Lytechinus pictus: one gene and its partner. The main gene of each other region encodes a partner of the protein of the gene in region 2 in a complex. Links are inferred from orthologs where the notes say so. Each region holds a gene or a part of one and is shown on either strand. Other genes may lie near its edges.

Region 1 (16,578 bases), on a different chromosome or scaffold from region 2:
AGACCACCTAATTCGTCCTCATGACGAATTAAAATCTAGTTTTTACTAAATTTGAGGGAAGTATTCTCTATTTATTTCTTTCATCTTTTAAAATCTATAAATTTATTTCCTTTTTGTCGTTTTTTTCATCCTTCCTTTATTCCTTCCAGTCCCCCTTTCTTTCCTCTCTTTTTTTCTTTTTCCTCTTTTTAAAATTTCCTTTCTTTTCCCTTCCTTCATTCTTTCTTTTGCATTTTCTTCTTCCTGCATCTCTATTTCCTTCTTTCTTTCTTTCCTTTCATTCCTTCTTTCTCCACTTATTCCTTCCATTATTTCTTTATTTCATTCTTTTATTCAAGGCTCCACATTAACTTTTTTTGGTGGTGGCCCGTTCGGGCCACCAAAACCTTCAAATAATTTTTTTGGTGGCCCGATAGTAAAGTTTGGTGGCCCGAAAAATATAAAGAAAAACATTAATTAAAAATTAATAAAACAAACTTTTGAAATATTAATTCTGCAGCCACTACCACTAAGTTACTTTCACTTTGTACATCTTGTATGTAAATCTTGTTTGCTGTTATTTTACTTTGCTAATTGATTTGTGGTAATATATAAATTGTTCTATAATAATAATAATAATAATACAGGTATATTTACCCAGGGAAGCCGCTTCAGTTCCGAAAACTGTTCTCCCAGCGGGCCCTGCTATTATTGTAAATCTATCATTTCTATCATTGTAAATTCTATCTATCATTGTAAATATGAAATGATTGAAAGAGAATAAAAGAATTGTATTGTTCCCAGGTTGTGTGGACTTTTTTTTTTAATCTCCGTATAGACACACTCTCATAATGGTAAAGTAAATAAATAGTGCATAGCAAACTCAATAGATGTACAAAACAATGATTTTTCCTTTCTTCCTTTTTGAATCCTAAAACCGAGATTATGCAGGCCCCAAATCCAGTTTATTTTCTCTTTTCCAGCATATTATAGCAGGAGAAAATCACAGAAAAATATGCTGCAAAATTAGAACAATGCATAAAAGGGGGAAACAAACAAAAAATAATTTTTAGAATAGTATATAAAAAAAAAAGAAAACAAAAATAATCAAATAAATAAGTGAAATAAAACAAAAGAATGAAAAAACAAAGAACAGGAAAAATTAAGGAAAGAAAAAATTTAGAGAAGAAAATGAAAGAAAAATGAATAAAACAAAATTAATAAAAAATTGGGAAAATTGTTATAATTTTTCAGTAGATACATATTCTTTAATCAGGCAAATTCAATGGGAAGGAGTATAAATGGTTTAACCACTATAAAAATAATAAAAAAATTAAAAAAAAAAAACGGCAAAAGTTATATCTGGAAAAAACAGTGTGAGAAAAGTCCTTCCCTATATTTGCCAAAATGCTAGAAAAATTCACATTTCATATCAATGAAATGCCTTCCAAAGTATTTACTTCCTCAAGAGTGGTTTAAGAAGTCATTTATAAACAAGAAAGAAACCAAGTATCAACATACATACAAATGCACACATGGGAATGTGATGTACTCACCTATGTGTTTTATGTAATGCATTTGGAAATAATCGGTCTTTTTGAGTCAAAAGAGAGGTCATAATTCCTCTTTTTAATGCTTGCAAATAATCAGGTTACACCAGATTTTAGTCGTATGGACTGTAGAAGGGCATTTCATTGGTGTAAAAATAGTAAAATGCGACTTTGACGTAGATTTTCAAAGTTCTGTGGAAGATTTCTTAGCAGCAACATTTCGTATCGCAGCTCCCCGAGTCTGAATAGTCTGCTTGCGCACATCGAGCTGCAGTGGTTTCATGCATGCAAAGCTCACGCCAGACGGCCGGCGCGGCCAGCTGGACAATTCTCCACTGCTTTGTAATGTTCCTTTCCTCCATGACTATGCAATCTTTGTGTGTAGATTAACAAAAAGGGCACATGATGAATTGGCTTGCAATTTGAACTGTAGAAAGTTGATAAATGCGTGCAAAATCGGGAGAAAAATTGCGCTACTTTGAAAATTATTGGTTGCCCGATTCGGGCCACCAAAACTTAACATTTTTTCAATAATGGTTGCCCGAGGTGAATTTCTGGTGGCCCTGGGCCACCGCTAATGTCGAGCCTTGTTTTATTCTTAAATTACTTTTTTCCCTTCTTTCTTATTTATTTATTTTCTTTCTTTCTTCCTTCATTCCTTTTTTTCTGTTTTCCTCCTTTTTCTTCCCTTCTTTCTGATGAATGTTTTTCTTGGCTTTTCTTCCTTCTCTTCTTTTCTTTCCTTCTTCTTTACTCATTTTTCTCCCTTCTTTCTTTACTTCTGTAATTTAATTTGTTCCTTTTTCTCTATTTTTTTTCTTCCTCTTCTTTTTTCTAATTCTTTCTTCTTTTACCTTTCTTTAATGTTTGTTCCCCTTTCTTTCAGTCCTTTTTAGGTTTTCGCTTCTTCCTTCACTTCTTTCTTTACTTTTTTTCGCTCCCTTTCTTAAATTCTTTTATTTCTTGCTTAAATTGTTCCTTCTTTAGTACTTTACCTCTTTCATTTGCATTTTCTTTACTTGATTTCCTTCTTTCTTTCATTTCCCCTTTCTTTCCTTTTTCTTTCTTTCTTCCCTTTCCTGCTTCTTTCTTTTGCTCTTTCCTTCTTGACTTTTCTGTAACACTAACATCATTAATTATTTAGTTCTTTTTCTCTCTATCTTATATTTTTCCTCTTCCTTCTTTTCCCCTCCTTTCTTTTTTTTCTTTCAGTCACTTCTTGAACTTGAAGTTCTTCCTTCACTTCTTTACTCCTCTCTTTTGCTCTTTCTTTTCTAAGTTTCGTTCATTGATTTGAACCCCCCCCCCCCTTCCCTGCCTAGTATTAGTAAAAAAAAAAAAGCTAGCCCTGTACTAGGCATAGCCCGGCTAGTCAAGCCGTTTAAGCTCCAGTCATGCCAGTTAGCCGAGCTGAGCGGGGCGCGACCCGTCGTAATGCCTGGCAATTGGCATACAGCTGCTCGCAAACGCAGGGCCAGCCTCCGACCGCCGGGAGCCAGTGGTAGCCCCTGCATCCGAACACGACGAAGAACAATCTACGGTAGACTACAAAAATGACAAAATTTATCTGTTCTTGCTTAATTTTAAAAAAGGTATTTGACACAGTCTTAGAGATCTTACCGGGCATTTGTTCTTTTTCTTGCTTTGGTGGTGTTCCCCCAAACCAACTCCGGAAAATTGAGCTAAATATTGTCGGATATAAGATGGCATTACAAATAATCATTACAGCGATCACAAAACAGGCAGTGTGGTAAAACGCCATCTTGAATTTTATTGGTTCACGGATATTTCTTCTGATCGTGATCCGGTTATCCGGCCAACAAGCCACCACCGGATACAATTGATCACAAATGGAGGGGGAGGGGGTAGTGTATCCAGAGTAGTGTCTAATAACTCTGGTTTTATCGCTCATAAATAAGTTCCCGTCATGTAAAAGGGGGCGGTAATCCAAAAATGGCTGATAATTTTTTTCGGCATTATTCTGGTTTAAGTCACCACTCCATTCACTGCCGTTCATTTCGTCAGCGGCGGTGACTTCTTTCATCTCCCATTGACTTTTGTACACAACGAGCGCATACACACTGACACACACGAGAAGAAAGGTGACTTATATCAGGGTAGGGCCATTTCGTCCCCTTTCCGCTCGTATGAAGAGTTTCGTTGCAAAAGGGGTTAGGTCCACTTTTTACCATTCCGATAAAAACCACGTTTTTTTATTTTCACTTACTGCAATACTCTTATGAGAAACTAAATTGTCATGATGTACTGCCCTACATGTGAACATAAACTTGGGTATAAAATAAATCTACCTGTCTTCAATTTTTTTCTATATATTCTTTTAAAAATTATCATCGTGGACCTAACCCCTTTTGCAACTAAACTGAAATGAATCCAATCTATTTTGATTAAAAAAGTGATTTTTCTTTGCCACTTTTATTCACGTTTTCATGTGAATTTCAAATTTTCGTTGTTTTCATCAGAATGACTAAAAATTTAGATGATTTGAGACAGAAAACAATAAAAAATTATGAACAATGGACCTAACCCCTTTTGAAAAATTAGCTTTTCAAAATAAATTGTTTTCAAAAGGGGTTAGGTCCACTCCAAGAAAATCAAGTTTTTTTTATTCTCCCATATTGCAATATTCTTATGCGAAACTAAATTTTCATGATACCCTACCATGAGAACATAACATTGGGTATAAAAAAAATCTACCTGTCTTCATATTTTTAAAATATTCTTTTCCAAAAAATACTGTGTGGACCTAACCCCTTTTGCAGCCAAACTGAAATGGACCTAACCCCTTTTTGAAAAAAAAGTGATTTTTCTTTGCCATTTTAGATCACTTTTTAATGAGAATTTCAACTCTTCTTTGGTATCATCTTATAGAGCTACTAAAAATCTATACATTGAGACAAAATATCAAATTTGATGAAAAATGGACCTGAAAAATGGTCTGAGCGTTTCAATCTCCAATGATCAAAACCGTCTCTACCCTCCACGTGTGCAAGTTTTTGTTCTTATGTAATAACACATCGTATGGAGATGGACTGCAATTTCAGATGAAGAGATCGAGGTCAACAGGATTACCTCACCTCGTAACATGATGATGATGATGATGAACCCCTTTTGCAAGTGAGCTCTTCATAAATTATACTTCTAATTATTACAAAAAGTACATTTCCAGTTTTCTCGTCGGAAAATGAAAAATTAAAACTCACGTTTCTTGCTCGCATCAGTTCTGTTCATCTATTCTGTACATGGTAAAAAAATGCTAACAATTTCCAGATTAAAAGTCAAAAACTTTTAAATTTTCAGTTCGTATAGATAGGCCCTATTATACCTATTCTTTTCATAAAGTGCAAAAAATTTCGGGTTTAAAATTCGGGAAATCTAAAATTTTCAGCTCGCGCTAAATATAGTTTAGTATCATCTTAATAACCACGAGAAGCAAAGTTTTTCAGTCTGAAAATGAAAATCTTAAGCTTGCACTTTATTGTTTGGTTAGATAGCATAATTATGTTCATTTTGACAAAAAGTGCTCAAAGTTTATTATACTGCTCGCACTTTGCGTTCGCATTATTATGACTGGTGACAATATCATTTTTATGAGTCACTGGAAACCGTCATTAACAGATCAATAAATACATTTTCAGCTTACAACTGAAGACATGGAAGATGTCTCTTTTTCATAATTTCATTGTACAAAAATTTAAGCCCGCGCTTCGAGCTCGCATTTTTTTAAAAATTAGATATACATCGTGTTCATCATGACAACGACTAATTCAAGGCACTTTTCTTGTCTGTATTTATTTCCATATAAAACAAAATATATATACATGATCAAATTACAAAAAGAAAAAGAAAATCGTCAAATAAAATATGGAGGATCGCCCATTTCAGCGGTATTAACATAATGCCGCTATTCTTCCATGGGGTCCTTTAATTGCAACGTAAATACATATTATAAAAAATAATATACACTGTAAATACACAATACTTAATCGAGTGCATTACAAGAAAAAATGCAAAGACTAAAACTAAATTACGGTAAAAAAATATCCCATTGTGAAAATGCCCCCCTCCCCTTTAACCCACCCTCTAACTATTGATTGCCTAAACGCCCAATTTAGTCTGTTATTACACCGATAGTCTGTTATTACACCGATTGTCTGAATGTGTCAATTTCATAACTGAAAAATTTTCGTACCTTGAACCATCATATATATTTTGTAAACCCTTTCATTTTTCAGTTTCTCCGATCTAAATTTATTTGAAATATAGGAATGGCTTTTTTATTGTTTGTGTAGGCCTATATATAGGCTTACTTAGTAAATCAATTATTAGTTTCATAAGCCATGATAGTCCTCAGTGAATTTAAGTTTGTTTAATACCCAAGATTATTTTTCAATTCTCCATAAGCGCGAATTCATATCACATTTTTACACAAATTCCCAATATGCCGTGGGGGGGGGGGGGCATAGGCTGATTCGGTGATCGGGTAATGAAGCGGGCAACGGTGCCTTGCCCTACTGGCAGCGCAATGAGGTACCGAGGTAAATAATAGAGAAATTAAGAAGAACGTAAGATCGGAGGAGTAATAGAATCGAATAAAATATAAGGAGAGGGGAATAATTGAAAAAAGGGATAAGTTTCAGGTCAGAAGTACTGATATAAAGGTTTAAAAAAATGCGATTTCGCAATGTTGCCTATTAAAAGAAATAACAAGAGTATTATGGGCTTGCAATAACCCATTATCAAATTAATGTGCACAAATTTTTCTGTTCGCTATTCGAGTTTCCATTATTTTCTTATACGCATTTTATTCAAAGGTCAAATCCACCCCAGAAAATTTTCGATTTGAATCAATCGAGAAATATCTAATAAGAATAACGCTTAACAAAAAAATCAGATGTAAGTAAGAAATTTAAGACATTTTAAGGTTTTGCTTATCTTTCACAGAACAGTTATTATGCACAAATCATTGACAGGCAAATTAGTGAGTCGATGATGTCCCTCACTATTTCGTTTATATTGTTTGAATCGTACAATATTTCATTTTTTTAGAGATTTTACAATAATTAATTACCATCTTGGCTGAGTCATATAATTGTAAATGTTCAGGGTGTGTTTCACAGGAGAATTATAAAGGAGAAGAATATTTCAAACAATGAAAAAAAAAATCGTGAGCGGGTGACATCATCAGTCCCTTTATTTGCATACTATCACTGTGTTGCGAAACTTTAGCAAAAGTTGAAAACGTCACAATTTTCTCATTTACATCTGATTTTGATGAAATTTTCGGTTTTATGCTGGTTGGATTATTTTTTTCTTTTTTATTCAAATCATCTTTTAGTTGCATTTTGTTGGGTTGGACTTGTCCTTTATATAGTTTTGAAAATGGGGCTGAACATAAATGTAGGCCTATATATATATATATATATATATATATATATATATTCACCCAACAAAGGAAATTATAATTGGTATGGTGTCGAAAATCTGTCTATTTGACGTTCAATCGGATCGGGGTCGCCCTAGCCACTGACCCGTCTCTGCATGCCGGTGGTCTATAGTGGTTAAGGCACCGGCGTTCAAAGCTGGGGGCCCGGGTTCGATTCCCGGCAGATACATTTTTTCGGCATTGCCAATTTTTCCAAAAGGGCAGATAGCTCTGGGGAACCTTAATTTAAGCTACGCATACCATTGTTCTCTTCATCCATTTCTTTCACAATATATTATATATATATACCATTGTTCTCTTCATCCATTTCTTTCACAATATATTATATATATATATATATATATATATAATATATTGTGAAAGAAATGGATGAAGAGAACAATGGTATGCGTAGCTTAAATTATGCGTAGCTTAAATTATATGCCATGCACCGCTATATATAAAAGGTTCGCATTGTTTATATGCCATGCACCTCAGCGGCTGGCCAACTTGAACAAAATTATCTTCAGGTAAGTAGGCCTACAAGAAATGTACGAATTAGAGCTCGTGCTTTTAAAGTGTTCCGGCGTTCTATAGTGAGACAATAAATCAATTAAGGAAGAAAGAAGAAGAAGAAAAGAAAATAAGCAACAAACAAACAAAAACAGCAATGATCGATTGAATTTGCATTTCCTCCATTACTTCTCATCAGAGAGAGAGTTACACGTATATAAGGACAGTCTTTTTCCCCTACTCTTTCTTCCCAGTGGCGGCAGTGGGATTTCGAAAATAGAGGGCAAATACAAATAATAGGCAATAGTGTCTATATTTCCCACTACATTTTTATGTGGTAGTGTGTGGGGGGTGCATCAGAGGCGGATTTACATTTCAGTTTTCAGAATTTCTGTGGGAGGGGAAGTGCTCCTGACGGAAGGGGGGATAACCCTCACGTCCGTCCTCTCGCGGTGCCACCGATGCCATTCCCCTTCCTCATTCCACTCCTTCCATATCTATCCCAAGGCAAACTTGAAGTTGAAGGAGCTTTGGCCTTGTTCCCCTCTCTTTCACATACTTGGGAAGTGCACATATACGTACACCTGTACCTGCGCCTGCGTCGTCTTTGAGGGGGAATTCCCGCCATGAATCGGATTTAATCAAACGCTCAAAATTACAAATATCGGAGCTTATTTGCAAAATATCCTTACTTCATGCTTCAGAATGTAGACAATTTGTAAACTTTTTAGCATAAAATAATTGCGAAAAAATCCTAATAATGAATTTCTTATCAATTAAATACACAATTCTCAACATGTGGGACTTACATTTTACCAATAATTTTGGAACGAGCCTGTTGATAACGTCACCACGCCCATGACAATTCACTTCAAAGCTGATATGTATTCATGTACTTTTTAAAGATTTCATGAAAATTTGTTTCTTTGCTCCAACAATAAAAAATATAAGTTAAGTTGTTATTTTTATTATGAATATAAACTCACATAATCTACTTTAATTCAGGAAATAATGCAAAATATCTCAGCTTCAATGAGAACTTTATTTTTAATCGCTCAAATATTATGCTTTGTACTGCGGTTTCACTCACCGCGCGCGTATAATTTACTTCCCGTGCTCGATGAATGAAAAGAAAGTGTCAAACGTTACTTTTTCTGCATTCGACTCTTGTCCATCGTCGTCACAATGTTTCGCTTAAGGACATTTGAGGTAAATAAGACGTAATTTATGTTCTATTAAGCGTTTGATGAATGTTGGTGATTGAATTAGGGACTTATTTTATTCCCGGAAGTCGGTAGTGTATGCTTGCGGCACGTTCGTGTACTGAAAGTTACAGAGACGTCGGGTGACGTGAGCTGTGTGTGTGAATAAGGTGAGCTGTGTGATAAGTCATCTCCCTCATTGATGCGTGCGATTTTTAATGCACGCACTTCGGCTAAACCCCACACGTTTTCGTGATACAGTATTCAAGAAATAACATGAATTAAGTCTAGACTAAAGTAGTGTTGTTACCCGCAAGGCCGCATGCAACTTAACGCAAGTGTAATTTGAAAACCAGACCCGGCCGTACCGTAGTTGTACTCGTAGACCGTCCCATATTGCCATAAACTTTCAACTTAATTTAATTAAAGACAAAAGTCAATGTTCTGTCGTTAACTTTATTATTAGAAATTAGAAATACAATACTAGATCGAGCAGCCATTAGATTGAATTTAGAGGTGGTGGTCAGAAGAAAATTGAGATCTTCCCACTGGTATTACAGGCTGTAGTACTACTAGTAGTACTAGTAGTAGTAGTTAGTAGTCATGGTAGGGTGACTGCACACGTCACAGAGCAAAAAAAATCGCCCTTTTCACCGCATTCACACAGCCAAAAATTGTCATGGTTTTGAGGGAAAAATCAAAGTTCAATGCATTTCTGACATATGATCCTGGGAAAGAGTTATCTATGCACCCCCCACCAAAACTAACAAAAGATTGTCGAGACTTAAAGTTTGTTCACTTCAGATTTTTCTATTATTTTTTTACTGTTGCTTTATACATGAAGATACCTTACTTACAAAACTTAGTTGGGACTCGAACTCACCTCGTTTTATCTGCAGTCAAGACCTCTTCCCGCTATGCTAGCGAAAAGCGCTGATACCGGAAGGGGTATTTTAACAATTATCAGCTGATAGTTCGACTACATGTAGTCTTAACTCACAGTCACTCATAGACCCTTTACTGACTAAAAATAAACCGATGTCTGGACAATTACACGCACTAGATCCTGCGCGAAATTTGACAGAATAAAGCCATATTTTGGTATGTATTTCCACTCCCCCATTATATATGTTGTATATTAGGTCAGAGATATTATTTTGAATCTTCTCCATGTTTTTATTTTCAATTTTAGTGGGGGGTGCATATGGAAATCTTGCCTGATCCTGTTTAGTGTTGGGCGTCGTCCAAATTTAATGATTTTGGTATAAAAAGAGGAAAGACTGCTCCAAATAACCTACTTCGTTTACATCTTTTTACTAACATAATTTTGATGTGGCATTTAAAAAGGAATTTTAAGGTCTTGTATCTTGTGAATAAACATAGATTTTGCATGTCTATGTATTATTGCACTCAATTCAACACATTCACTGAGAAATGTACAAAAATAAATGCTCACTTTTGGCATAGGGCGCTATAAATGTATGTATGTTGCCATGATTTAGTGTCCTATACCAAGAGCATGCTTACATTTGTAATACATTGATTACTGGACCTTCCTCATTGTACTCAGCTGAATGAAGCACGATTGTATACAGAAAGTCTGAACAGGCCTTGAGTCGAACCCATCGTGGCAAACATTTCTGATGGAATTCATGCCTTATACATGTATGTTCTAAGTTCAGGGTTTCTTTTATAATTTCCTCTACATATTTTTGGTTCTGAAGTGCAGTTTGCTATTGTGAATGATCAGAATAGAACTTACTGCCAATAACCCTTTTCTTACTCTTATATTTTCTTAAAAACTGTCCTCTAAAAGACTTGGATTTTTACATAAAGATACAAGAACTTTGTTTACTATCAAGAAAAGAAAAAGTTTACGGGGAAAATGTAACTATTAAAGTCTACTTTAAAGTGGAGTGGGGGTCTTAAGTGTTGACCACTACGTAGTACATCTTTAGTTTTGAAAGATTAACCAGTCAATAAGATCAGGGGCCCGTTGCAGAAAGAGTTGCGACCTGGGGCCTGTTGCAGAAAGAGTTGCGTTTAAACACAAGTCCCGAGTACAGGTGCTTCATTGACTGAAAATCAAGTTGCGCAAGATTTTTTTAGTTGCGTTTGATCGTAGCTCTTTCTGCAACGGGCCCAGATCTTATTGACTTGATGTCAATTGCTCTGAGTAAATATGAAGGATTTGTTCATGTTTTGATATAAAGTTTATAAATCTTTTTCTTTTGAGTGAAAAAAAATAAAACTGCTTCAACAAACTGCTTCAACAAAAAAAGTCAATAATTTGTACATGTTTCAATGGAAGTGATTTAAATCAATGATTAAAAAAAAAATCATGGTGATTTGAATCGTGATTTAAATCAGCCAAACCTGAGGTTACTTATTATGCTTAATATAATGGGCTTGACTCGCTCCATGATGGCGCACATTATCTGCGATGACCCACGCTATGGACAAATTATTTACCAAATAGTAATTACGTACATAAAATTTTAATTTTAGTTGTAAATAATTACTATTATATAATATAACAATATGTTCTGAATTTTGCTCTGCTTGTTGTAATGAGCTTTTTTTCAAATTTTGTTATTTATCTTGCCAGGTATGAAGTCTCTTTTCTGACGAAAAAGGAACATCGGAAGAGACTTTCAAAGAACAAAACATACCACTGTTGTCAGAAGGGAAGTAGTCTTGACCCTCACAGAATACTGTGCATGGGACTACACATTTGAAGAAGGAACACACAGAATACTGTTTATGGGACTACACGTTTGAAGAAGGAAGAGTTGCAATCCTACATGAAGAACAGTTAACAGGACCAGAGTCGATCCTCTCATTCTGTGAATTGTTGAGAGTGCATCAGGGAACGGACAAAAGATTCTTTGTATCGAAGAAGAGAGAAATAAAGGACTCTTTCAAAATGGGTAAAATGCTTTCAAAGATCTTCGGCAAGAAGGATCTTCGGATTCTTATGCTAGGATTGGACGCTGCAGGCAAGACAAGTATCCTTTGAAAAAAAAAAATACAATTAAATAATCCAATACTCTAAACACAGAGCTGGGTATACGTTAAATTGTACAGGTGTACATTGTGATCATCACAATAATAGTACGTACAGCATTAAATGCATTAAGATGCTTCTAAGCACTCTTTGTTCACGCCGGTCATGGGATTGTGGCATGCCCGCACACAATGTATGCACCAAGACCTTCTCCACTCCCATGGGAGCATTCCGAAAATGAGTTCCAAGACGCTATCGTAAATTACATATCATTTGTACATGTACAGTATGTATTCTACATGTCCATATCATAGGAGTTCATATCCTATTAGGTACCATTTTAACACCTGTGGACTATTTCATAAAGCTGTTTGTAAGTTACGAATGACTTTACGTACGACTGGTGACCATTTATTGTGCTAAATGATATCGCTATGTAACTGATTTAGCGCCTAAGAACAGGTTCCAGTCGTGCGTAAAGTTGTGCGTAACTGTACAAACAGTTTTATGAAACACCCACCTGGTTGGAGAGTGGCAAAGTAGTCTGCATGCACAGACTCATATTTGATACTTCAACCATTAACAGGTCTAAAGTCAAAGACTAGACTCCTAAGACTAGTGTCTGTGTCAAAATAGAGCGAGCCACAGTACACAGTGAAAATGAGTGAATCTAGTCTCTTCACTTCAGACTCTGTATAATGTATCAAATGCAAATTGTGAAAACCAAAGGTCTGTGACTGCAGACTAGTGGCAAAGTGTGTTGATTATTAAATGCCTTGCTAAAGGATGCTTGCATACATGTATGTAGCCTGCTGATTGTATGCAAACATTGGTTTGGAAGAACATTTAAGATCGCTTCCAAGACTCCTATGCGCCTCTCTTGTATGTTTAACTGGTTTCCAATATAAACTGCTTTCCAAATATTAAACCTAGTTTGAAGTAGATATTTGTGATGACTATACCATGTAGATCTTCCCATTGGCATTGTGCTTAATTGTGACTAAAGATCTACATGTATGATGTCACACACGTTTAATTTTCCCCATTACACGTTTCGCGATAGCTCAGTCGGAAGAGGGGGGTTTCGGATTCCGCTGACCCGGGATCGATTCCCACTCAGTGTGCTAGTGCCCTTTGGTAAGGCATTAATCCTCATTACTAGGTCCCTCGGAGAGGACCTTAAGCTGTTGGCCCTCTGGTTGCTTGCTCTCAAGCATTGAATGCTTTCTTTAATAGCAATTAGGTAAAAAAATCACCACCATATTCTCATTGGTCTAGTCTGTCGCAAAGTCTGTGGAGTCTTTCATCATCTTCTAGTCTGACAAGTTGTTAGATCTGACAACTTTCCTTTATTTTGATTGGTTCCTATGGTAACTGTTGGATAAAAGAGGACTTTATCAGGTAGGATAAAACGTCTGACAAGTCCTTTCAGGAAACGCCCCCCCTGGGCTCCGTAACACAAAGGTTTGCGATGAATTGCAAATGTGAAAGAACTGCACTGATTGGTCCCTGGTCAGTATTTAAAACCTCATGCGCGTGTAACATTGATATTGATTGGTCAGTTCATTTAGCGATTGATCGTTAATCTTTGTGTTACGGAGCCCTGGGGAGTGTTTCATGAAAGGACTTGTCAGAAGTTTTATCCGACAAGTTCCATTTTATCCGACAGTTACCATAGGAACAATGCCTCTCAGCCAATCAAAATCAAGGAAAGTTGTCAGATCTGACAACTTGTCAGATGAAAATGTTGATGAAACACTCCCCTGGTGTTCTATTCATTGAGAGGACGTTGCAATAGAGGTTTCACAGTAATATTATTGTCCTGTTTGTCCTATCATTAGAATGAGAAAAATCAATACATGTATGAGTATATATTTTCCAGGGTCTAAGAGGGAGGGGGGTGTACATGTAATGATGTTTGATGACATCACAGAACTTGTTCACATTGCCGATGGAAGGATATTCCTAGTAACGGTGATCTCAACATTCAAATGTTCATATTAATCTTTCTTATTGTTACAAAGTCTGATTTCACTCGAAACTTTGTTTCTCTTGCTCTTTGATTTTTCTGCTTACACACAAGCTTACATGTTCCATGGTTTTCATTCTCATTTAATGGTCAATTCCACCCAAACAGAGAAAAATCAAGCAAGCTTTAGGTGAAAGTTTCATGAAAAAGTGGTCGTCATATTGAATTAAAAAAGTTTTGCTTGATTCCACAAAACAGTACGAAGTACAGTGTATGGTATGCAAATCCTGGCCGGTATGCAAATGAGGGAGGGGATGATGGTCACTCCCTCACTGTTTCTTTTTTTAACTTCATATCAAATATGAAATATTTTTATTTTCTCATTAAAATGTGAAACAAAGGTCTCTCCTTGAACTTGTTGAATTGCCATTTGCTACAGTTAATCAATGAAGAGTTTTTACATGATTAAATCTGCGAGAAATGAAAATGAAATAAAATTATTTGCAAAGAAACTTATTTTATAGTCGATGAGTCAGTGAATTCTTTCCCTCTCATTGAATCTTTGTTCCTATTACTGTTTTGTGAAAAATGAACAAATTTTTAGGATGTCCTAACTAATATTTTTCATTCGATTCTTATGAAATTTTTACTTTTATGCTATAAAGTAGTTTATTTTTTTCCTATCAATAACTATTTGTTTGGGTGGACTTGCAAAAGGGTTTAATACACTTTATACTCCAGGCTGAAAATAATGATTTGAACAGATGAAGTAAAATTAGACAGCAAAACTTAATTTCATAAAAATTAGATAGGGAATAACAGTGCTATGACATGTAAGTTTTGTATTATTTCGGTGAAACAGTTCTCTCTCGTGAATATGCAATTTAAGCAAGCAGATGATGTCATGTCCCAACATTTTTTTTTGAGGTATTTTATAAGAAATCATATTCTAAATCATCTTCAGTCTGATTCAGAGAAATAGAAACATATGGAGTGACTAGGGATTTAATGTGTAAGATATTTAATGCTGTAACTTACCCCGGTACATGTACAAAGGAGATACAAAATTATGAGATAGTGATTACTTGTGATGGTAAATTGACAATGTACTGTACAGAGAAGAGAAAATGGGGACATGACAGCCCAACTGTCTACACTGTATTAATTGTTAAGTTAATTTTTATGAATATGATGGCATCACCATGCAAATAAACTGTTTTCACAAACTATTGCTAATCTTTAAAATACAATGACATTGTTAAATCAGATTATGACAGAACTCCCAGCGTTACTTCTTCGTACAGAAAACTATTTGTTTTACATAATGTACATTGTAGGCTACATGTATGTCAGTGTAAGCCAGGATCATGTGCATTTTTTTATACATATATTTTTACATACATGTAGGACTGTACATTATAGTTGAGAGCTTTTCTCTTGTGACCAAAAATGCTATTCAAATTTGTAAAGCAAAATTATTCCCTGGGTTAATTAATATGAAACTGTACTCTACAGTATTTTCTGTACCATACAGTGACTGAAAGGAGACTATGTAGGCAGCAATGTGGAGAAGTATGAATGTGTATAGCCAAATAGCAAATACTAATAATGCAAGAATGATTCGCTTGCTGTCAGTACTGTTCGTAGTTACATGTAGCTCTTTTATGAATATTTTATTCTACTTCTTGAATTACAGAGCAAAGAACTTGCAATAATTCTGTTTACTTTTCTCCCACATGGAGCTCCCCTCCCCCTTTAACATGGCATGCGTCAGCTTTGTTTCCCTGCACGCTTCCCTGACTGGGGTATTATACACTGAGAAACTGAGAAACACTGAGAAAATATTTCCGCTTTTTCCTGCAGCAATTAACACAGGACATTCAATTACTCATGCTTCGGGTAGGCTCTATTGTCACGGGTGAATTAGTACATGAACTGTACTAAAGAGAGTGTGCACATGTACTGTGTACTGAATATTACAGTGTAGGATGTAGCAGACACTGTATGTACATGAACATGAAATTAAATGTACGGTACATGCGTTCTATAAAATGCTATAAACTTAAAGGTATTATTTTTAATAAAGAAAGTAGTTGCAGCAAATAGTCATTTTATGAGAATGCCTTTAAAATCAAGGTTGATTGCCATACAGTATGTAGATCTGCTACATTGAAATTAATTTATCTTTGTGAAATCATTAAAACTTGGCTGAAAAAACTGATAATTATGATGATTACTCACACAAAAAGGCATGTGTGGGACAATGTATTAATATTAATATTGCTTGGAAAAATACAAATACCTGACATTTTTATAGAATTCCATGTTCATTTCTCAGCAATTACACAGTTTTTTCCAAGAGCCATTTGGCACACATTTTAAGCGCTTGGGTGGTCATTTCATTAGATTCTGTTCAAAATCATTTCTGAGATTGTCACCACTTACTGGCATTTATCTTTGAATTCAACTTACCGGTACTGTACTATCATGTAAACCTAGGTTATTACAAAGAGAACTTTCTTGAGAAACAATACACATGTTTCAGGAAAATATGGGTGTGCCTCTATTATGTATGCATCCGTTTTTTTTTTCTGCAAGACAGACAGATTTTCTAAACAATTTTCAGATTGTCTTTACTCTTTAGAACATTTTCAAGACCAGAACTACATGTAGGCTGTACAGTACATAACTACAATGCAAAGACCAGATCACATTTTCATAAATTTTTAGAAGTAAATTTTTGAATAGTGGCAATATACTTGCCCGAAAAAAATCCTGAAAAAAAGTTTTACCTCTTCAAAAGAAAGTATTGCGGTTTTATAAACTATTGACCCTTTTCTCTCTTTTGACATGAACTGATCTACCTTGTTATTACATTTCTTTTTCCAAAGTGATTTTATCTTGCCTGTCACGAC
Region 2 (16,227 bases):
ATAGCAAATTTTTATAAAGCGCTTTTCCCAGAATGGCTCAAAGCGCGTTACAGCATATTATTACCCCGGTCATTGGATTCATTTCAATCCTGCACGAAAAGTGCACAATTTCCACTCCCTGGGGAGCATTCCTTGCATTCATCGCAGCCTCATTATGGCGCTGGCAAAATCAAACATACAATATCTTTCGCATCCTACCGGGTACCCATTTAGCACCTGGGTCGAATATAGCGCTTAATACATCGGAACGACGTCTCTAAGCGCTTTTACAGACATATTATTACCCCGGTCATCGGATCCTTGCATGCCCGCATACAATGTATGCACCTTCTCCACTCCCTGGGGAGCATTCCAACAAGAGTTCCAAGACTCAATTGCTAGGCATACTACATATAGGCTTTCACATCCTACCGGGTACCCACTTAACACCTGGGTAGAGAGTGGCAAAGTGTGGATTGACGCCTTGCCAAAGGACGCTAGGCCATGGTGGGATTCGAACACACGACCCTCTGATTACAAGGCGAGAGTCAGAACCGCTACACCACGACGCTTCCACGTCGTAAGGTAAGGGGGAACATATGGGAAAAAGGCCATAAAACAATAAAACAAGAACAAAGAGGCCAGTGAAATTGCCACTAGGCTTGATAAAAAGTGTAATTTGGAATTACCATAATGTCCCTCATTTCAAAACATATTGGATGACAGAAAGCTGCCACTCATTGATAAGGAAATAATTGCAAGTCATTTTCATGAACTGCAATAGTAACAAAATGAAGCCTTCTTAAGGTATGGAACTTTGTGAAGTTGAAGGTGATGGTCAAAGATGTCCAAAACTTCAAAAACTAAAAAAATGAAGAAAAAAATTTTTTTTCCCCAATTTTTTGCAAGTTCACAAAATGAGGGATGTGAAGAAATAATATCCCCCATGCAGAAAATATTAAATTTGACCCTGCTTGCATGCAGATATAATTTTAATAAAGTGTAATAATACCTGTCTCTGCATTCATAGTAGGGACTGTAGCCTGTGTTTCTGTGGTGGAGGACCCTGTTCCAGCAGCGATAGGTGATGTCATCGTCTCCGTCAGTTCCTTCTCTAGGTTCTTTTCATTAGATTTATCATTGAACTTGTTGAGAGCATTAGAAGGAGTGGTGGTCGGCGATGACAGGTCATCGGACATTATCCTCTCCTTGGTAGGTGTCAGCTGGTCATCGTCGAATCCACCAACCAATTGGTGTTTCTGAATGTTTATCCTATGGGAATGGATAAGAGTGAGCAAAGTTACAACAGAAGTATGCCTTACATACATGTAATCTGGAAAGTAACGGGAATTATTATCTGTACATTCTTGCAGATATGGGCTTTGCTTGTTTACATCTCTAGATACACTTATTCTACACAACTGTGTATTTAAGAATGAAAGATCACAGCTAAAGATTTATTGGATTTTATCACATCTGTCCAATCAAAGATTTTTCATTTTTGGGTAAAATCATGATACTTGAAGGTAAAAATAAGTCTCTTTATTACATTACATCCCCTTTCTTTTTCATTTCCCCCTTGGTGGGATTAACTTAGATCAAACTTGAAGGGTATTTAGGCTGACAAACTTGTTAAAGAAAGAGAAACTATGAATGAGAATAATAAAAAGTAAGTTATTTTATTATAACAGGCAAAGTGCATATTTTTTATTGTTGCATAAACAGTATAAACCATATCGTCGCCTTCCCGCAGAAAGGCCGTTAACGTGCAAGTACATTTTTAAGAAAACGCAAATTATGTTTTGACCTTATTTTTGTGCTTTAAGCAGCTAGTGTATTATTTTCTGTCCTAATTCTCATACTTTCTGACAAAGATGTTTTCTTCATTGATATTTTGTTTGTTTTATTTAAAACACTCTAATCTACGCTTTCTAATCTTAAGAAGGAATACCTTACACCCTTTTTCCGGGAAGAAAAATGTGCAATCCGCTGATCCAGTGACCGCAGGAAGGCCGCTAGCCCGAATCGGTCTATGCGCACACGCACGTTGAACGAGAAGCGTCTTGTTCCCAGACTAAGAATGCGTCTATATGCTAAAGCAAGTGGGAATGTTTTTGCTTATTATGTCATAATGACATCACATTCAGGTTCGAGAATGGTACCAGAAGAAAGTTCGGGACATGCTTTTTCCATTTCAGCAATATAACAAAATTCAATTTTTTTTTTTTGGCGCCAAAATACGTTAACGGCCTTTCTGCGGGAAGGCGACAATATAATGTAAATTCTTTGGGTACTTTTTCAGGGGCTGGGTCTTTTTTCCATTCAAAGTCTAAAAGAATACTGTATAAAATGAATTTGGAAGGTATGATTTAAGGAATCAAATAAAAGCTATAAAAGAAATGATAGCAAAAATGTTGACTTCAAAAATTATTAAGCAAATATGATTGATTAATCACCGGCAAGTACACATGTGAAATTAAACTAAATTGTGTGAATAAAACTGAAATACCAGGAATTAGGTGCAAAGAAAGTGCTAAGAAAAAATTCTTATACTATAATTGCCGAGGAATGACTAAATTTTCAAATGTCAGATTAACAACTTTCTTGTTGTGAGATAAAACTTTATTGTGCCAAATTCAACCATCAATGCGCTGAATCAACCCCAGTCAAAACTGAATTTAACATTTGAAAAAAAACTTGTCACTCCTCCACCCTTATAGATGGTGACTTAACATTTACATGTAGGTTTGCAAAGTATTTCAAAGGTGAACTGCATATGAATGATCAATATAATAACTGATTTATTTTTAAACATCATCTGTTGGAAGCCAATTTAATTATATCCACTAAAATCCTTATAAGCACCCTTCTGTCATCCAAGAGATGAGAGGTACAAAAGCTCCAGTATGATTAATTTACAATCAATTGCGCCCCCAACTGCCAGCATGTGAAAGGCCAATTTTAAGCTAGCTAGTACAAAGCTTCTATCAAAATAATATAGTAAAATCACAAAAAATGATAAAAATTACTAAAACATTGCCAGTTAGGTCAACATGGGTGCATTTGTGCTTCTCAGATGAAATGAAGATAACATATATCTGAAATGCAGTACATAGGGAGAAAGTTGAGGAAAAATTAGGGCTATTTTTCTACTTTTGTTCATTTATATTTATAAGCTAACATTTCGTATTGATCCATGTTAATGGCTAAGAAGTTAAAAGAGCCTGCATTGCACAAAATTTATGGTGGAAATACAGAAATCGTTAATGAAACAATTGCATATTTGTGTTTACAGAAACCAAATTTTCATGGAAATGCCAATCTCAAATGCACTTTTTTTGTGAGTTTCCCATTGCCATTTGTACAAATCCAAGAAAAGGTGCAACAGAGATTTGAACTAACATGTTTTGTGATGCCTAATGACCCAAGAGTGTCGAGTATAGAATAATAAATGCTGTGATTGATATTTTGGAATCTGAACAAAAATTTTGCAATGATAAGTAATCAAAATCAACTCTTCAAAATTTTGATAGAATTATATTATTCTAATTCAAGTGACTTCAGGGACCCACTTCATAAAACTTGTTATAATAACAAATTTGCAATAAGAGCTAAAAGCTACTGAAATCCATCTGTCTGATTGGCTGATAGTAAAATTTGTTATAGCAAATCTGCATTTGTTACTATAACAAGTCTTTATGAAGCGGGAATCAGATTATTTTACAGCTGCACCACAACTAATAATTTATTTTCCCATGATGCAATACACAAATCCTCAATAAGCTGGAGTCACTTGATGGCAGTTTTGATTGTAAATAAATAATACTCCCAAAGTCCCAAACAAAGGATAAAATGAAAATGCTGAAAATATGGGAGAAGTAAGACTGTTTTATTAATAAAACCAGACTACTCAAACTATTTAAAAGTTTAATAGCCCTCAGGATGACAATGAGAATGAAAAAAAAACCTGGAAAAGAAATTATGAAATTATGAAAGATGCCCCCATGCAAATATAAGTAATGGATAGGATTTCGAGGGTGGGTTGAAGGTGTGAGTAGGGAAGGAATCCATGCAATATAAAATTTCAAAATGCAATGTGCATGCACAGTGTCAATGATAAAAAGTGTATATCTAAGCCATATATCTGCATATTTTTGTCATGTTGTTTTTCCACCTCTTTTCATCCTAAATGTACGGTAACTAAGTCCAAAAAAATAGGGGGACTGATAATAAAGGAAATGAAAAAGATGTATTTCTTTCCATTAGGCATGAGAAGCCAGTTTAATAATAGTGAAATTTAAGATAACATACTTCAGGATCAGATTTGAATATTGCAACTGGGCTGTTTTTTTCTTTTTATCCATAAAATTTTGGTATATGGCTTAGATATGAATGGTAGAACAAAACAGAACCATGTTAAACAAATAGGAGTTCCAGACTTTTCCAAGCAATAAAGCAAATATCCATTCGTTAAAACAAACATATTCAATACTAAAAATTATTTTTCATTTTTCTGAATAATAACATTAGATAAAATTGTACGAAGGGTAACCACCATTTTAAAATATATCATTCTGACAGATCAATTAATTTTGATAAATTGATTTAATTAATTTTAATTAATCAGATTAGTTTTCAAATAAAACAAAAGCACAATATTTAAATGATATTTGTCAAATGAACACTCATTACAATCATCAAAATCAAGATGTAATTGAGCAAAAAAAGGCTGGAACCCTAATCAGATGAATATTAAAAGTACAATCAAGTCCAACTTAGCCTTTGTAGTGGCCATAATGATGAGGAGTTAATAATGCAAGCAGGCAGTGAATACACTATACACAAACATTCTTTTCTACATTTCTCTCTCATCTACAATGAAGATCTAGAAAATGGGAAGATATCTGTATATAAAACAAATAGAAAAACATGTTGGTTGGAATTAAGGAAGGAAAAGGAATAAAAACAAATGCAATCGCTCATACATGTTATTTTAAAGTCAATCTGTTACTTGTGTACAATAAATATAAATATACACCAAGGATAGTTTTGTTACAATAGGTGTACAATATACATGTACATGTATCCCAACCACCCAACTGGAAGAGGGTGATGTATAGATACATTTCTAGCATTAAACTTGATTTAAATTTCAGATGAAATTTCTTGAAGGGAGAAAAAGCCAAGTCATGTTGTGGAAATAATATTTGTGCTACTACATGTACATGTATATATACTATACTTGTTTTATTTGACAAAAATCAACTAAAACTATGTAAGTCAACAAGATCATTAAACAATTTTCACTGTTGAAACACTTCCAGGCTCAAATCACTGTTTGTATATAAAATAATCATTGTTAAATTATTAGGAAATAAGGATTGTAATATGTTGGCTTAGAATTTAGAATGTCTCTTTCCATACGCCTTCATAATTGAAAGTAATTGCTTACAATGCAATTATCTGTCATTATATCTGAATTTTGTATTTCACTTGTTTATTGTGGTTTGAAAAATGATGCCTCGGCTTCTTTCACCTAACCACACAATATCAGCTCATTTGAGAGGATAAAATCTGCAATCAACTGCACTTTTAGGCTTTTGTTTTATAAAGATCTAAGCCATTACAATATAAGGCTGGTGTATTGAATGTATGTCATTTTGACAATGACACTGTGAATGATTTTAGAGTTTGATACATCAGTCACTTTGTAGGAAATTTATGTTGTGTCAGGACATGGTATTTGACTTGCAATTGAAAGCAAGTTTCTTTTAATTGTTTGAGAATGCATCATTCAATGAATAACACAACATACAAAGGCTATCAACCAACATCTTTTCAATGCCACCTTATAAATTAATCAAGAAATGAACATTTTACATATTGTAACCATAACTCCATAATGCGTTTAAAGCATTATACATTCTTTAAATTGTGATCTATTTATTCATTTATTATTTTATTTATTTATTCATTTATTTATTCATTCATTTAATTATTCATTTATTTATTTATGCATTCATCTATTTACTTATTGATTATTTTTTAAATTAAATTTCATTTACCCATTTATGTATTCATTTATTACTATCATTTTGGGGGTGGATGCCAAATAATCACTAAATAATTCATTCTATTTTAGTCCATTTTAGTGTATGAAGAGATAGGCAGAATATACTGACTATTAAACTATTGTTAAACTTAAAGAATATATAAAGGAGTACATTTTTTATCCAAATATAGATATATATTTACAAAAATAAAATATGCACTTGTGCACTAAAAACCAACCATGCTCTTAAAGTTAGATGAACCAAATGTGCCTTTCCAAGCTACATATCATATAATACTGATGGTTAGTTCAACAAAAGAAAACATGCATTTAATACTCTCAAGTCAAAGGTACATGTATGCATATTTATATGTGAGTATGATATTGTAAGATATCAGTAATGATTACAAAGGAAATGATCTGTTTCTCATACTCATCATCCCCCCTTGAATAAGTCGGAGATCCAAGCTCGTGATTCATTCTGCATCAAAGAGGATTTATTTTGGGGCCAATTCATTGATGTGCTATGATTTCTGATAATTTTTTTTTATTCAAACCAAGATATCATAAATGGATTTTTTATATCTTACATCAATTTTACTTATTAAGATTCATCCCTTGAATAAAATACAAAGAAAATATCTGAAAAGGTACTCATCACAATGTCATATGATTATCATCCCTTATGAATAAATGATAATATAAAAACAAAATCTTGCATAGCAGGAGTATAAATTATCCATTCCAACAGATACCTACAGTACACATGAGAAATAGTACTGGATAGATTGGAAAGAACGACAAGCTTTTTATAGAGGTGTCAAACAGAAGTACCAAAGTATGATTATAAGGTCTATAAACTAATATACATGTAGACCATAGAAAAAGCACCACAATTGTACCATCATCCCTTTGATAAATATGAATTTCAATTTCATTTATGTGTTGCAGAAGAGATCTGAAGGGGCATTTAACAAACTTCAGCAGTATTAAAAGCAACTAAATTCAAATACCCAGTTGTGTGTGGTATATAATGCATAATGGTCAAACAATGCTTGGAGGATGTTTGCTTCTGTGTAATAATGAAGAAGTCTATATGTAAAATACGTGTCCTGTGGCACTTAAGCATGAATTTTAGTCACACTTAAATCTTCGTAAAACATCCCCTTTTTTTCTTTTTCCTTTTTTTTATAGAAAATGAGCATGTCTCCATGAACAGGATTGTGTTCAAGTTGCCAAACAATTCTTACCACTATGACAAAGAAATAAGGCCAAAACATTGATCAACTTGATTTAAAACTGCTCATTTACTTGCAGAGCTTGAGTTGAAAATACTAGCTCCCCCCCTCAAAAAAAAAAAATCTGAGTTGGCGTGTGAGTGTAATAGATCCATGGTGTACGTGAACAGTGCCTTTACATTTTAACCAAAGATCCCAAATAATATCATTTCACATTTCACAGCAGCATTTCTTGATATATAGTATATTTTATGCAATTTTGTAGAAGGGTGGGGGGGGGGGGGGGATGGTGGTATCAGATTATAAAGGGAAATCCCCTACCTGAACCTTTGTTGTGTGGTAGTATCAACCTGTCCCATCATCTTGACCCGGTCAACATACTCCAAGTACTTCTGAACAACCTGAATAGAAAAGAGACAGTTTGAAAGATAGTGAATGAAATTGGTAAAGCCATCTACAAAAATTAAGGGGAGAATGCAAAAAGAAGACCGTGAAAAAACCATGACAACATGCATTGTACAGTGAATTTGATGACCACAGTAAGTCTCTTTCAAATAAAAACTCTGAAAAGGGTAACATGATAAGATTAAGGTAAAGCATTTCTTGTTCAGTTAATACAATTAATTTTGTTCATTAAAATAAAGATTTCATTTATACATGTAATAGAGAAGAAGAAAGGGAGAGAGAGAGAAAGAAAGACAGATGGGAGAGAGAGTGAGATGACAGAGAATAACGTGTGTATACATACACTACACTGAGAGCACGCACGCATGCACATGTACCCACTGCACAACTGGCCCAACGAGCAAGCACAATACATATTCATGAGTTCCTAATGAATATGCATTTCTTCATTCAAGAGTGGTAAATATCATATTTCATTGCTAAAAATGAAGAATCTGTGCTTTGGGTTCAAAAACACTTGCACAATATCTTCTAAAAATTATATAAATGTTACCATGGCATACCAAATGACAAAATCATCAATGCCTGAATAAACATTTCAAAATTAAAACTACTAACCATTTTATTAAATACATATTGAATATACAGGTATCATGCAACTGCCACCAACTTTTTAAAAAGGGCTTTTGCTGCTTGTGGCACATGGGATTCCCCAATGGGGATTCCTGTGCGGAATCACTATCAAGAGATTTCGGAAGCATAATATTTGTGATTTGTGGCTGTTAGTTGTCTCTTGCACTGACGCCCTACATATTAAAGGAGAATGAAACTCTTGGAGCAAGTTAGCTTTTGTGAAAGCAGAAAAATAAAAGAATAAGATCAACAAAAGTTTGAGTAAAATAGGACTAGCAATAGAAGAGTTATGAGCATTTGAATGTCGAGATCACTAATGCTATGGAGATCCTCCCATTGGCAATGCGACCAAGATCTATGATGTCACAGATGAACAACTCTCCCCTTTTGGACACTGAAAATATACCCCAAAACATCTCTTTTTGCTCATTCTAATCATATGACAAACGATTCATCAATGATATAATGTTGTGAAACCTCTGTACTTGTCCTCTCATAAAGAGAACACCTCGCCTTGTGATAGACTATAAAAGTGAGAATGTAAGTGAAATAAGTACTAAAGTAATGAGGGAGTTGTACGTGTGTGACATCACAGATCTTGGTCGCATTGCCAATGGGAGGAACTACATGGCATTAGTGATCTCAATATTCAAATGCTCATAACTTTCTTATTATTCATTCAATCTTCATCAAACTTTCAACAATATGTTTCTTTGATTTTTCTCTTTGATATGGATTCAGCTGGTTTCAAGGGTTTCATTCTCCTTTAAGTAACTACAAAAACCAACTTGACAGTGTCAGGGGTTTGAAATCTTCAATAAAATCCCAGACTTCCTAGAACTACAGGGCAACATTTCAATTCAAATCAAACTATACATATAATTTTCTTTAAAAAAATATATATTTACATATCGTAACATTTCGATATGGAATGAGCTGAAAATTTCACAATAAATTTCTTTGTGGCATACTAAATCCAGTCGCTAATTCATTTATAGATACATGCTCAAAAGTCCCTTTTCAAAGAAACAAGTGGAACGCCTCTGGCAGTCTCGCCTGCATTACGCGATTTAATATAGCAGCAGTGCTAACTTTGAAAACTACTATAAAATAATCATTCACAAAAACTCCATTCATATAATGACATAATACCACGTTCATTGACCATAAATGACATTTGAACGGTGACTTAAGACTTGTCAACTACATCCATGTCCACATTTCAATCACTCTATCTATAAACTTTCAAAGTTATGATGGCAATTCAACAATTACCCCAACATGGCCTAAGTTTATTGACCTTAACTGACCTTTGACCTTGGTTTTGTGACCTGAAACTCACAGGGGATGTTCAGTGATACTTGATTACTCTTATATCCCAAGTTTTATGAACTAGATCCATAAACTTTCAGAGTTAGGATGGTAATTTAACAAATACCCCCAACACGGCCAAAGTTCATTGACCTTTAATGACCTTTGACCATGGTCATGTGACCTGAAACTCGTACAGGATGTTCAGTGATACTTGATTACTCTTATGTCCAAGTTTTATGAACTAAATCCGTAAACTTTCAGAGTTAGGATGGTAATTTAACAAATACCCCCAACACGGCCAAAGTTCATTGACCTTAAATGACCATTGACCATGGTCATGTGACCTGAAACTCGCACATGATGTTTGCTAATACTTGATTAACCTTATGTCCAAGTTTCATGAACTAGATCCATAAATTTTCAAAGTTATGATAGTAATTCAACAAATACCCCCAACTTGACCAAAGTTCATTGACCCTAAATGACCTTTGACCTTGGTCACGTGACCTGAAACTCGAGCAGGATGTTCACTAATACTTGATTAACCTTATGCCTAAGTTACATGAACTAGGTCCATATACTTTCTAAGTTATGATGTCATTTCAAAAACTTAACCTTCGGTTAAGATTTTGAAAATAATTCTCCCAACATGGTCAAAGTTCATTGACCCTAAATGACCTTTGACCTTGGTCATGTGACCTGAAACTCAGGCAGGATGTTTAGTAATACTTGATTAACCTTATGTCCAAGTTTCATGAACTAGGTCCATATACTTTCTAAGTTATGATGTCATTTCAAAAACTTAACCTTAGGTTAAGATTTGATGTTGACGCCGCCGCCGCCGCCGCCGTCGGAAAAGCGGCGCCTATAGTCTCGCTCTGCTATGCAGGCGAGACAAAAATGAACACCTTACTGTGAGAGGGCGATAGAAGCTTTAATAAGTAAATTCTATTCAATAGAAATAGATAGATAGATAGATAGATAGATAAGATATATAGACAGACAGACAGACAGATAGATACATGTAGATAGATAGATAAGATAGCTAGATAGACAGACAGATAAATGGTTTATTTGATAAAAAACATATATCATGGCGACCAAGCTGAATTGAGATGAATTTACATATAAATTAACATGAATCAATACATAAAAAAATTATAATGAAATACATGAACATATCTTTGAATAATAGTTATACATGTAATAATATTTAGAGTGCAAAAATTGTGGAATATAAATATCAAAATTTGATTAAAATAGTATAATGACAATGTAAATTCATTACTAATTGTAAAGTTAAAAATAACAATTTTGATTCACTAATAATTGGATTGAATTCAAACTGAATTGAAGTGAAAATTACTGGTAAGTGATAAATATAACATTATAAACATTGATTTTGAAAAGTAGTATGCATATAACAAAATGTGGAATAAAAAACTATAGGGGGCTGGGGTCAGATTTCTGGGTCTTCATAACATTAACAAGTGGAACGCCTCTGGCAGTCTCGCCTGCATTACGCGATTTAATATAGCAGCAGTGCTAACTTTGAAAACTACAATAAAATAATCATTTACAAAAACACCATTCATATAATGACATAATACCACGTTCATTGACCATAAATGACATTTGAACGGTGACTTAAGACTTGTCAACTACACCCATGTCCACATTTCATTCACTCTATCCATAAACTTTCAAAGTTATGATGGCAATTCAACAATTACCCCAACATGGCCTAAGTTTATTGACCTTAACTGACCTTTGACCTTGTTTTTGTGACCTGAAACTCACAGGGGATGTTCAGTGATACTTGATTACTCTTATATCCCAAGTTTTATGAACTAGATCTATAAACTTTCAGAGTTAGGATGGTAATTCAACAAATGCCCCCAACATGGCCAAAGTTCATCGACCTTTAATGACCTTTGACCATGGTCATGTGACCTGAAACTTGTACAGGATGTTCAGTGATACTTGATTACTCTTATGTCCAAGTTTTATGAACTAGATCCATAAACTTTCAGAGTTAGGATGGTAATTTAACAAATACCCCCAACATGGCCTAAGTTTATTGACCTTAACTGACCTTTGACCTTGTTTTTGTGACCTGAAACTCACAGGGGATGTTCAGTGATACTTGATTACTCTTATGTCCAAGTTTTATGAACTAGATCCATAAACTTTCAGAGTTAGGATGGTAATTTAACAAATGCCCCCAACATGGCCAAAGTTCATCGACCTTTAATGACCTTTGACCATGGTCATGTGACCTGAAACTTGTACAGGATGTTCAGTGATACTTGATTAACCTAATGTCCAAGTTTCATGAACTAGATCCATAAATTTTCAAAGTTATGATGGTAATTCAACAAATACCCCCAACTTGGCCAAAGTTCATTGACCCTAAATGACCTTTGACCTTGGTCATGTGACCTGAAACTCAGGAAGGATGTTCACTCATACTTGATTAACCTTATGTCCAAGTTTCATGAACTAGATCCATAAATTTTCAAAGTTATGATAGTAATTCAACAAATACCCCCAACTTGACCAAAGTTCATTGACCCTAAATGACCTTTGACCTTGGTCATGTGACCTGAAACTCAGGTAGGATGTTCACTAATACTTGATTGACCTTATGCTTAAGTTTCATGAACTAGGTTCATATACTTTCTAAGTTATGATGTCATTTCAAAAACTTAACCTTCGGTTAAGATTTTGAAAATAATTCTCCCAACATGGTCTAAGTTCATTGACCCTAAATGACCTTTGACCTTGGTCATGTGACCTGAAACTCAGGTAGGATGTTCAGTAATACTTGATTGTCCTTATGGCCAAGTTTCATGAACTAGGTCCATATACTTTCTAAGTTATGATGTCATTTCAAAAACTTAACCTTAGGTGAAGATTTGATGTTGACGCCGCCCCCGCCGTCGGAAAAGCGGCGCCTATAGTCTCGCTCTGCTATGCAGGCGAGACAAAAATAGCTATTTTTTAGGCATGAATTTAAAGCTAATCTAAAGTGAATTTAATTCGTTTTTTTTTATTTGTTTTTTTTAAATAAGATATACAAGCTAGAAATAAATGCAAGAATCCATGTTTTTAAGCACAAATATTTTTTCCACCCTCAGTGAGTGCTTAGATCTCCCAGGCCAGGGTCTTGTTTAAACAAGTGATCACCGAGATGATTACAGAATATAAAGCGAAAACACACTTTTATTTTAGAGAGCGCCCCCTCATCTTCAGGAATCCAACTGATAAGATTTGAGAATGTATTGCAGAAAGACCTGTAATCAAACACAACTCTGAAAATCAAATGGACTTGATTTTCAGCCAAACAGAAGCATAATACACAAGTCATTTTCTCTTTGCATTCAAATGAAACTCTTTCGACAATGGGTCCTTGAAAAGACAATATCAGTTTGCCTTCCTGATGGCTCTTTAATCAATTTGAATTCGAGCTCATATGATAAAACAATTGTACCCATCAACTCAAGCACCCCCAGTGTCAACACCCTCTAGATAAAAGAGAATTTTGATTAGAAAGCAAGTCCCTTGCCTCTTCTGGTCAGAGAGATTCAGATTAGTGCCCTGTAACACAACGGTTTGCAATCAATCGCACATTTGAAATATCAACTCTAGATTGGTTACAGCTCAGTCTTTTCAATGAAATGCAAATGTAACAAGGATCTTGATTGGTCATTACCTTTTTTGCTATTGATCATTACATTTGTGTTAAGGGGCCCAGATGCTTTCTAAATTAAGTTTTCAGTCTGTGAAATGTCTCCTACAAGTACATGACTCACACTTTAAAGGGAACGAACAACGTGGCCTATTTTATAAATTTGTAATCAATGGCAAGTTAACAGCTAAAGTTATGCTACTAAGATGCGGTAAACAAATCAGTCAAGAACAAATTTGTAATTCAATTCTAGCATTAAAAAATTGACATTGAATAATTTAATACCTATTTGGCAAAAAATGGAAGCACTAATATTTGGTAATGTGTATAATGTGTCATTAAATACGTATGATCAAAAGCTGCATTGCAATTGTATCTAATTATTGTTATATCAAATCGACAAATCTCCTCCCGGATATCTTTGAAATTAACCTTCCTAACAATCAAAGTGTTCTTTTTTCTTTTGCTTCTCAATCAGACAAGATTACATAGACATCTTGAACTTATCCTCAATATCTATGATTAAAAGGGGGAAAATAAAAAGAGAAGACTACATGTACAGTACATGGGGTGTCAGAGTCTCAGAAACATGACTTTCTCTTGATTGCAATCTCCATTAAAATGTATATGTGTATTAAGGTATACAGGTGTATGCTGGTTTCTTTTTTTAAAATAACTTCTCATGAAACAATCTTTAATTTCAATTAATTGTTTTTTAAGCTTTTTTTCCAGAATAATTCTCTTGAATACAAAAACATGGCCTTTAATCATTTACTATGCTGTTTTACATGTCTATACATGTATGTGTATGCATAAACTGTTTGATCTGACATCTCATTATTTGGGGAAATTTGGATTATTGATGGCAGGGTAATGTCCATTTCAAAATCAAAATTAATGCAACATCAAAGAAAAAATCTGAATGTTTTATTTTCTGAATTAAAAAAAAAAGCCAATTCATAATTTGGTAGAGTGGAATAGTTTATCATCACTCATTGTTATAAATGACATCAAAATTATTTAGTTGCAACATGGTTTGTCCAAGAGTTTTCAGTGAATAGGCAAAACGTTAACAAAGACATCCATATGGCTTTATAGTGAACCATTTTAGACATTAAATCAATATGGAGTAGTGAACCAGTACTTAAGGCATTTTCAATAGGGATTTATAGTGAACCATCGGCCTTTTAATATATTAGAAACATGCATTTAATTTTCGAGGTCGAATTGAATTGATATCACAGGAACAGCAATTCCTAAACATGATCACTTTAAATGCAAATCTCTTAAAATGTTCATACAAAACACGGTGTACATGTACATGATGTATCTCAGCTTTTGACTCTGAAATGTTTGGTCATCAAACACATGAAGACCACTGCAGGAAAGCAAGCTTGCCTGAGTCAGCACATGCCCAGAATACAAGCATTGAAATTCAAGTGCAAGCGCATTTCTGCGAATGCACGGAGAATGCACATATCTGAAGAGGCAGACAGCAAGTACGGTAGTTCAGAAAGGAAGGAGACGGAGTATGCAGTACCTCAATGAGCATGCTAGATGTATGACTGTGCACAATGCTTTCAGCATATGTTTTGAGGAACTCAATACAAATGGATGGTTTCTACATATGGATGTTGTGTGTGCATTTTAATTTGAGCGTACAAGTACTTTCCGATGTAATCTATTTTCAGCATCATCATAAATAACCGCATATGTGTTCAAAGAGGAAATAACATGATGATCATCTGTATAATTGCAGTTACAGACATATACCTCTACATGTACATACTGTATCACATGTTCAGCTGTTACTGCAACTCAATTAAGAAAATCATGTTGTGATCCCTTAATAAAAAAAGAATGTTCAAAATAAAAGTGGTGGGGCCAGAGCCATATCTAATGTTTGTTTGTTAATTATCGTAATACCATCAAATTCAAAGATAATAACGCTTGTTCACAAAGCACTGACTTTAAACCAATTTTTTTTTTGTCTAAATTTTTTTAAAGACACCATCAAAATATATAAAAAAAATAATAGAAAGCAATACCAAACATGAGACCAGACTCGGAAGGCTACGTACAGGATCAGCACTTGCCAATTTAGAATGTAAGCCCTACATGCTGTAGGATGTGAAGTTAGCTGTCAACTAGTAAAGTGAAAAGAATATGAACCTTGTTATATCATACACAATTTATAAAACAGATAAGAGCTCAATGGCACACCAAAATCTTCTCCTGATTGTGATTTTTTCTTCTCAATCTCTGAGTTGCTCTTTCTCCCACTTTCTCGATTATGGCTAATTAATGTGACTAATTGTGTTTCCAATGAATAAATAACGTAGGTCTACATGTACATCTGACTGTGGTAGAATCTGCCTTCATAACCCAATTTTGCAGATATGCATAATTCATTTTAATGTACATATATATACATGTAGGGTGAGAGGATAAGAAAATTCATGACCAAGAAAAAAGTGAGGAAAGGAAAGAAAAGAAAAATAAAAGAACGGTATGTCAAATATATCACAAAATTAGGTTTGTCTACTAAAAAAAAAGATCAAAACTTTTCCGGAAAGGCCAAGTCTGGCCCCTTCAAATTGACTTATTGTGCCACTAGATAGGAGTGTTTCAAAATAGCTCCATGGATTTCCTTTTCCTTCATGTACATTTTGGGAAATAATTAGACCACTTTCCTACTAAGCTCCATGTGACATGGGGTGCGTTTATCCGCCACTTTTTTACCCTAGAATCATGATCTGAATCATGATTCAAATCATGATTCTGCAGAATCACGATTGCGTTTAGTCGAAATTGAATATAATCATGATTAGAATCACAAACATGAAACACGAAAAAAGGGGCGTTTGGAAAGACGTTTCTGCAGAATCACGTACGAAAATGTTCGAATAAACGAT

Evidence for each region.
Region 1: the proteins of C-Jun-amino-terminal kinase-interacting protein 4-like (region 2) and ADP-ribosylation factor 6 are in contact, whole or in part, in a crystal structure (PDB 2W83), measured with the Homo sapiens proteins. The link is inferred for Lytechinus pictus from reciprocal best matches to the Homo sapiens genes SPAG9 and ARF6. Residues at the interface, in NP_001124000.1 of Homo sapiens: Lys431, Asn432, Ile435, Val438, Asp439, Thr442, Cys443, Asp446, Val447, Gln449; in NP_001654.1 of Homo sapiens: Glu13, Arg15, Lys34, Phe47, Val49, Glu50, Thr51, Thr53, Lys58, Asn60, Trp62, His76, Tyr77, Thr79.

What each region holds. Positions count from the first base shown.
Region 1 is NC_087250.1:26,841,454-26,858,031, reverse strand, and holds the start of ADP-ribosylation factor 6, read left to right. Parts: upstream 1-8,040; 5' UTR 8,041-8,694; intron 8,695-11,295; 5' UTR 11,296-11,613; coding exon 11,614-11,695; intron 11,696-16,578. Other genes in the region: resistance to inhibitors of cholinesterase protein 3-like, read right to left, coding at 3,150-3,291. UniProt on the Homo sapiens protein: GTP-binding protein involved in protein trafficking that regulates endocytic recycling and cytoskeleton remodeling. GTP-bound form plays an important role in the transport of multiple palmitoylated proteins form the Golgi to the plasma membrane.
Region 2 is NW_026974140.1:2,997,574-3,013,800, forward strand, and holds the start of C-Jun-amino-terminal kinase-interacting protein 4-like, read right to left. Parts: upstream 7,672-16,227; 5' UTR 7,632-7,671; coding exon 7,591-7,631; intron 6,513-7,590; coding exon 6,465-6,512; intron 1,252-6,464; coding exon 992-1,251; intron 1-991. UniProt on the Homo sapiens protein: The JNK-interacting protein (JIP) group of scaffold proteins selectively mediates JNK signaling by aggregating specific components of the MAPK cascade to form a functional JNK signaling module.